2 linked regions of the Caenorhabditis elegans genome follow. The protein of the gene in region 2 purifies or fractionates together with the protein of the main gene of each other region. This does not show direct contact. Each region holds a gene or a part of one and is shown on either strand. Other genes may lie near its edges.

Evidence for each region.
Region 1: the proteins of C33F10.4 (region 2) and gcy-27 fractionate together in Caenorhabditis elegans (co-fractionation; one large-scale study listed by BioGRID). This does not show direct contact.

Annotation. Positions count from the first base shown.
Region 1 is NC_003282.8:17,434,637-17,438,567, reverse strand, and holds the start of gcy-27 (Receptor-type guanylate cyclase gcy-27), read left to right. Parts: upstream 1-1,936; coding exon 1,937-2,010; intron 2,011-2,348; coding exon 2,349-2,430; intron 2,431-2,473; coding exon 2,474-2,761; intron 2,762-2,809; coding exon 2,810-2,881; intron 2,882-2,976; coding exon 2,977-3,151; intron 3,152-3,510; coding exon 3,511-3,702; intron 3,703-3,919; coding exon 3,920-3,931. Other genes in the region: C06A12.8 (RxLR effector protein), read right to left, coding at 413-583, 629-684, 860-992, 1,038-1,109. UniProt on the Caenorhabditis elegans protein: Guanylate cyclase involved in the production of the second messenger cGMP. May be involved in sensitivity to quinine by regulating egl-4 activity through the production of cGMP.
Region 2 is NC_003280.10:4,793,633-4,797,563, reverse strand, and holds C33F10.4 (Alpha_adaptinC2 domain-containing protein), read right to left. Parts: upstream 1,804-3,931; 5' UTR 1,800-1,803; coding exon 1,602-1,799; intron 1,287-1,601; coding exon 858-1,286; intron 813-857; coding exon 417-812; 3' UTR 347-416; downstream 1-346. Other genes in the region: htip-2 (Protein HTATIP2), read right to left, coding at 1-189; F26G1.1 (VPS35 endosomal protein sorting factor-like), read right to left, coding at 2,054-2,206, 2,253-2,373, 2,459-2,608, 2,654-2,841, 2,893-3,090, 3,142-3,561, 3,657-3,816.

The sequences.
Region 1 (3,931 bases), on a different chromosome or scaffold from region 2:
TACATTATCTCACTAGTTATGTATTGCATTTACAAAACTTTGAGTGTTCTGTTCTGATAAAGCCTAAGATTACAAGTGAAGAAATTTTGATACGAGTGAAGTTAACTACAATCATTCAAAAAAAAACCAGTATCATTCTGCTTTATTAAAGTTTACTTTTTTTTACAAAACAATTGCTTTTCAATGTATATCGAAATGATTTTTTCTTATGGCTTTGAATTATCAATGTCTATTCAATTAGACCAAGATTTCATTACCGTATCTAGTTATATTTCAAATTATAGACTTTATCTCGTAAAGTTTCTTCAAGTAAGAAAGGATGTGTTGCTTTTTTTTGCATTATATTGTTCTCAGTAATTATTTTTTCATTAATACAACTGAAGCAGTAAAATTTTTTTGGCTGATGAAATTTTCAATACTCTCCATAATATCGAATTGTTTGAATTGCAAATGCATTAGTGAAGGATCGCTTGGTCCATGCGATAAACGACCGGAGAAGTAGATGACCAGGAACGTCATGAGATTCCGAAAATTTGAACTTGAAATCCTTGCCACGTGCATCTACGTGTCCAAAGCGGCGAAGCTGAAAACAGCGTTCAAAAATAACATGGGAGATGACGCAAACTACCACAAATGAGCCCAACTGTCTTTCAGAAAGTTCCGAATAGTAACGGTCAAACCAAGCTGGAAAATTATAAAAATTTTTAAACCTCTGTTCATAATAGATGACCGAGCTTTCTTTTTTTTCTCGCATCTCAAAAAAAAGAACAAATAATTTATTCGTGTTACAAGCTTCAAAGCTCGTATTTTTCGCATTGTTTCCAGGAGCCATTTTTCAACTTAACAAACTTCCACATACATTCCGAATCGAATTTAGCAGAAAAGTATTTTTCAAATTCTGTCATATTTCTTTTCCGGACAGCAGACTGTATTTTCATAAGCATTGTGTCAATTGCTCGGTCTACCGTGATATTTCTTGCAACATAAGCCGTCTATAAAATAACTGGAAAATTTAATAATCGTTTTTTCAAACTCACAGTTTTTTCGATACTTTGGAAAAGAACAATGAAAAACAAGATGGTAAAACCGAATAGACAACCAAACTTCATTGATGTTGAATGAAAAGTTTTAGTCAGAAAACTGTCGGTTTTAGGTGCAGCTTTGATTGAGGCGAACAAAACAAAATTCAAAGGTTTTATTGATATGATAATTTTATTTGTCCGCGATCAGCTAAAGATGTAAATAGTTTTTTCTTGACAATTGACGTAGAAGAAGAGAAAAATATGAAGAAACTGAAAGATGCGAACAAATACTTTAATAATTCTGGGCAAAACTTGGAAATTTTATGAAACTTTAAAAAAATAATATTTGTGCATTGATACCTTTCGCTGAAACACTAGTGTTTGAAAAAATCAGATAAAAGTTTGGCAAATTATATTCTCATGCTCGTCTGTTTTTTTCAAAATGTAATTTTGAAAGTAAATCTTGGGGAACAAAACATTATCCTTTTCAGCTGGTACAGTTTTTTGTAGGAATTACAGTTTTCTTCTCCTGAAAACTAAAACGATATTAAAAATTTTATAAACACTTTTTTCGAGTACAAATAGGTTTTAGTTACATGTTTGATAAACTTTCATAAATTAACTCGCGAAATCATAATGTTGTTTGTTTGAAATCTAGGCCAATACCAAAACCAAAATTGGCATGAGACAAGTTTTCAATTAGAACACTTTTTTCTATACTATCATCAAATGTTCCTCAAGTTTTAATGCCCGTTAGGTTGCACTTTTATTTTGTCTTTGCCTCCTCACAAGTTTTTCTTGTTAATGAGTAGTTGTGAACATACTCATCAAGTATCGGTTGCCATGGAAAAATAACTCACACATTTCAGAGTCTTTCTCGAGATACAACTTTCATTTTATTTATTTTCTACCAAATGAACAAGCTTATCACTGTCATCCGAGATTTCTCATATAGTGTTTATAATTGGTGCTACGAAACTGTAATAGGGTAATTTTCATTTTCATGATCTTCTGAAACGTTACAAAAAAAAGTTTCTTTAATTTTCTTACTGTAGCAGGTTCCAAAAAACTTTAAAAAATTTAAGTAATAAACTGAATAGTTTTTCTATTAACAGGTATGTCCATTATACTTGATAGTATGAATGAAAGTTTGTAATATTTTTCTCGTCAGTATACTCCATCAAGTGTAGTTGTCGCTACTGCGAACGAGTTTTTTAAAATTTTAAAAGAACTGCCTTATCGATAAAGTCATAAAATAATTATATTTTTGAGGAGTTTAATAAACAAAACGTTTTTGTTCCCTTTGAAAGTCATTTAATATTTCAGGGAAAATACTCGGAAGTACAAGATGACATGGAAAGTTCCAAAGGAATCTTTGAAAATTATTGTTAACAAGAATGCAGATGCGGTAATAAAATTCAAATTACCAGTAAATGCGTCTTTAAATTTAGAGAATGCAACGTGAACTTGAAAATAGAACAGCAAAAGATGAAGCAAATGCTTTAACATCACGACGAAGGGTATTTGGCTCATATGCTCTAATTGGCACCCAAAGAGCAGAGTTTATTCAGTTTCGACAAATTAAACATATCGATATCACTAATGCTTCTTTAGACTTTTTGTATAACTTAAAGCAACTGAAACATGACAATCTGGCAAACTTCTATGGTATTCAATTGAATGATGATCTCAACACAATGACAATTTTACACGCATTAGTGGAACGAGGAACACTGGAGGTACAAGACTTACATTTCTCAGTAATTAGAAAATCAGGCTAATTCAAGGAATTTTGTTTGGATCGAGATTTCGGTATGGATGAAACGTTCAAATCCGCATTTATGAGAGATATTTTGAAGGTAACATTTTGCGTTATTCATTAGACTCCATGAACAACTGAAGATTAAAAAAAATAATTCTATAATAAAAATCACAAATCGATTGTTAATTCAAGGGTCTTCAATATCTTCACCTATCTCCTGTTGCGTATCACGGTCATCTTCACGCAGCCACTTGCCTAATAGATATAAATTGGGTACTGAAAATTGCATTATATGGGGTCACAAACTTTGTGTGTGATAACTTCGACGCAGAAAATATAACGATGCCAGATAGAAGTGACTATACTAGTGAGTAATTCAAAACAATGTGCAAAAAAGCCAGACAACAATTTCTAAAATAGCTGATTGCGGGAAAAATTGGAAGCTGACAATAGCCGGAAATCTACAATTATCAATTTCTACACCTATTTGACTTGAATTTTCTTGAAAAATTTGTATCTTTCAATCAGAAACTGTTTTACCTGTTCACGCCGTTACTTCAACCACAACATTTACACTGAAAAACAAAGTATATTTTTATTTTTTGAAAAATAATGTTTAAAAGTTCCGAAAAACAACAATTTTGGCAATTTCCGAATTTGCCGATGACCGAAAATTTTTGGTTGCCACCTACCCCAAGAATATATGCCTTCTTTTCTTATTTTCAGTATCTTACGCGCAGTATGTGTGTTTTCCGCCGGAGCATATTCGAGAATATGATGCTACTGGAAAACTGCCAACCAGATTTGTAAGAGGCAGTAAACAAGGCGATATTTATTGCGTTGGAATGATTTTTTATATGATGATCGAACGTGAAGATCCATATCGACTGATTCACTCAGTTGAGCGACCGGGTTCTGGTAAGTTAGTTGAGAAGTTGCAATGGGTCAAAATGAGTCGACTCGCAAACAAATGAAGACCAAATCAAATGAAACTCAAATGAGGACCGTTAAATATGACAAACTAGGATGTTCTTTGACTTGCCGCAATATAACCTCCTTGCTAATATGCCTAACTCAAAGAGCTTTGTCACCTTTATGCTTGGTCTAGAAAAGCATCAGGGAAATTTATCTTAAGGTCTCATGATGG
Region 2 (3,931 bases):
AATATCCTCGGCGTTCTCTTCAAGCTTATCAAAGTCGACAGTTTTTTGAATCAGCTTGTCTCCAGTGGCTCCGTCGACTGGTCTTCTAGCGAGAACAACCACTTTTGAAAACTTTGTAGACTCGGCAAGCAGCTTGACGAGCTCAGAACCAACAGCTCCGGTTGCTCCAACGACGAAAGCGCTGCTCATTTTGCTGTAATGGATAAATTAAAGTTAATCTTAAAATAGATTATTGGAAATTCAGACATAAACGAAGAACAAACAAATTCAAACAAACGGCAATAAGTTAGAGGTAGAATCTGGCAATGAACCAGTAGTTTTGAAATTGACAAAATTAGAACCAACATACCAATATAATTTTTATGTATTCTTTTGTAGTAAAACCCGAAAAAAAAAGTTTTTGAGAATTTAGGAGTTCAGTTGAATGCCGCAAGCATTGTCTGGAATAGTTCTTCAACGGAAAGTGCATCCATTTCCGTGAGTATCAATATTCCTTTAGCTGGTCGTGATTTCAATTTTGACATTTCAACGATGAGATGAAGTCGAAGTTGCTCGGCGAGAAAAGTGAGACTCCGTGAGCTTTCAGTTCCGATTGTCAATGTGTGATAGGATGTTCCATCCTTGGCACAGCTTGCCTTCACCAATATGTTATCAGAAGACGTAGATGGTATGCACATTACAATGTGATCTTCTTGTACATTTGGAACGTTTAGAATTGATTTGAATACTTGAGGCACAGAGATCACAGTATCTGGACTGCCAGAGAGAAGATTGATAAGAGAATTTGGAAGCCGAATTGTTGAAGTGAAACTCTGAAAACTGCGAATTTGATCATCTATCTAATATTTGTATCCTACCGTTTCCATATTCTTCCGCTCTACTCTCTGTGCTTGATTCCAAGCTGTTACGAGAATAGGATCCAGCTTCACTTTGAAGCATTTCACAATTCCTCCAAGTTGATAAGTTCTTAGAAGAGACAATTGTAGAAGGACAGGAGGATCCTTGCATGTCAACTGGCATTGGAATGTTTTCCGAATACCAGGAAGAAGGCTTCCGACATTGATTGTTTGACAGCACGAAGATGAGCTATTCGGGAAGATGGACGTGGGATTAATTGAAATAACCCAATCAATCATCGGCTGATTTGTGATATTGTGAATGGTTACGAGAAGTAGAATTGTGCCATCATGTAGATATCGAATTTCCCCATAGGTTGCCACAATTCTGTCGATTCGTTTTGTATAACATTCCTCCATTTGCTTGCAAATCATGAAGAGGCTTCGCACCTAAAAACACCATTGTTTATAGGAGTTATTAGAGCTACAATATTATATAATTACTATGAAGCGAAATGTTGCGTCAAAAGGACGGTACTCGGTCTCGACACGAAAAATTTTCAAACATTTTTAAAAAGGGGTTGCGCCTTTACAGGTTACTGTACTTTCAAATTGTCGTTGCTGCAGAAACAAAAGTTTAAAATTACAGTGCTCTTTAAAGGCGCACGCCTTTTCGCATTGAAAATAAAATTGTCGTGACCAGGGGAGATACCAAAAATGAATTTTTTCGCATCTTCGTAATATGAAACTGTGCTGAAAACCCACTTCAACAGCTAAATCATCTAATTTTTTCGATTCTTCTTTCAACTTTTGATATTTCTCAATTATCGATTTTCTATCCATCGTGTGTGATGACGTCGGCGCTCCCGCATCGAATGAATCGTCGGAATCAATTTGTATGGGCTCCGTGTCCATTCTATTATCGAAGCCTCCAAAAATATCATCGTCGCTTATATCTGACATTTATCTGGAATTGAGTTATAGTTACAGGGGAAAAAGTGGTAAAAGAAAATAATAAATGGAACTGATCCAATTAAAAATATACCAAATAAACGTAAATATAAGAAAATTGAACTTTTTTTTTAAATATTTATAACTAGTTAACTGCTATTTAAAACAATTAAAATATCACATATTAACAACTGATGTTATTTTTATTTTCCCGTAATTTTAGACAAAATAAGTTAGACAATAATAAGTTAATAGGCACTGACAAATTATAAAAGTGATAATCTCTGAAGAATATCTCGGACAGTTTCATCGTGACTGGCTTCATTCCGGAGATCCTGAATGATTGCGTCAAGGCGTTTTTGCAAATGAGCAGGCGAGCCTACTGATCGTTTCAGAAGACCTCGGATCGTGGAGCGCATCTGAAAATTTGAGGGTAGTTAAGATAGTTAACGGTTCAGTGAATACCTCTTCATGAATTTCAAATAACATGACAACATTTTCCAGTGTAATTACTGCAATGGTTGGGTCATTGGCGAGTGAGAATAGTTTTGTGATGACGTCAGAAATGTTGCAATCCACTCGAATTCTGGAAAATATATTTTTAGATTATTTAAATTTCAAAGTTGTCAATTGTTTTTCTTGAATTTTTCAAAAATTTTTTAAAGACTCACAAATGATCATCATCGCCGAAATGCAATTTTTGACTGCTATCTGCTCGAAGTGGATCAACTTTTCGGCATGTACACAGGTAACGGAGCATATTGATATAAATCTCTGCCAGTGGAACTCCTTTATACTCTTTTGACCATTCTTCGTGATTTCTGAAACATTTTTAAATTATTGTTCACAAATCTCAATAAATTCACCTTTCAACAATTGCAAGTATTTTCGAAAAATGCGAAAGAGACGGCATTTCTTCATTAAATCCTTCTGGGCAGAAACTGAGTGTTGCGAGGAACTGACTGATGAGAGGGGATACTGTAGCACACACAGAAGGACCGTTTGTGCTCATTTCGTCGAGATATTCTATCACACGCACACTCGACATTTCCATCTAAAAGGTTTATGTTTTATTTATATTTTGGCAAGCTTGTTGGAAAAATACTTGAGGAAGAAAATTGGCAAGAAGGCACATTTGAATGTTTTGCACAGTCATCTTGACGCGTCGGGACGGATCTCGGACAGCTGGGATTGTAAGTGATAGATTTGTGATGCACACTCTCATAAAATCCGCTTTTCGCTTTCCAGACTTTTGAGTACGATGGATGAACTGTGTGAAATTGAACAAAGTTTCAATGATGTGCTGTAAATATTTAAGTTTTTTTTTTCAAATTGTTTCTAATTCAAAACTAACAATTAAACTATTCTGCCGTAATCCCATGTCTTCTCGACATCTGACTATTAATTCAATGCATTGATCCAAATTTGTAAATGCTTGGAAATCAATCAGAGAAAGTGAAGAGCAAACAAGTTGCTCCGCAGCTTTGACTTCTTCTGATTCTTCCAGTCTATACGCTTTGCACAAAGTTCGACATTTCTCAATAATGAATTGACAGGCAGATATATCGGAAATCGTGTGGCGTGTGAAGGTTTTAGAGAAAATTTCCAAAATTCGTCGAGAACAGTCTGATGTTGATTGAATATCATAACCGATTAGATCTACTATTTTGATGAAACTATTTGACGTGACAATGTCCAAACAATCAGATTTATTTGCATTATGTTCCAGGAAGGCGGCAATTAGATTGATGAGAAGAGCCGTGTTTTCTGGCTTCTGAAAATTTTAATATTTTGGTAAACATTTTTATATCGGTGTAAATACATTTTCGGGTTTTTTGTTGTAAAATCTATTAAAAAACCGAAACTAACCTTAGTTTGATCATCAATTCTGAGCCGAACCAAAACCAATTCCAGAATCTTTGTGACTTCCTTCAAGGTGTAATATTTTGTAATATAAGATGTCCATGCAGCACAGCAATCGACAAAAGTTTGAAAATTCGAAATATCTGCTACACGCATCCATACTGACCTGAAACAACTCTCAAAACAATAGAGAGAAGTAGAGATAATGAGAAGGCGAATTGAGTTATACTTTAGACGGAGACAGCCGTTTGTGAGCAAGTGAGCACAATTTCGGTCACAAA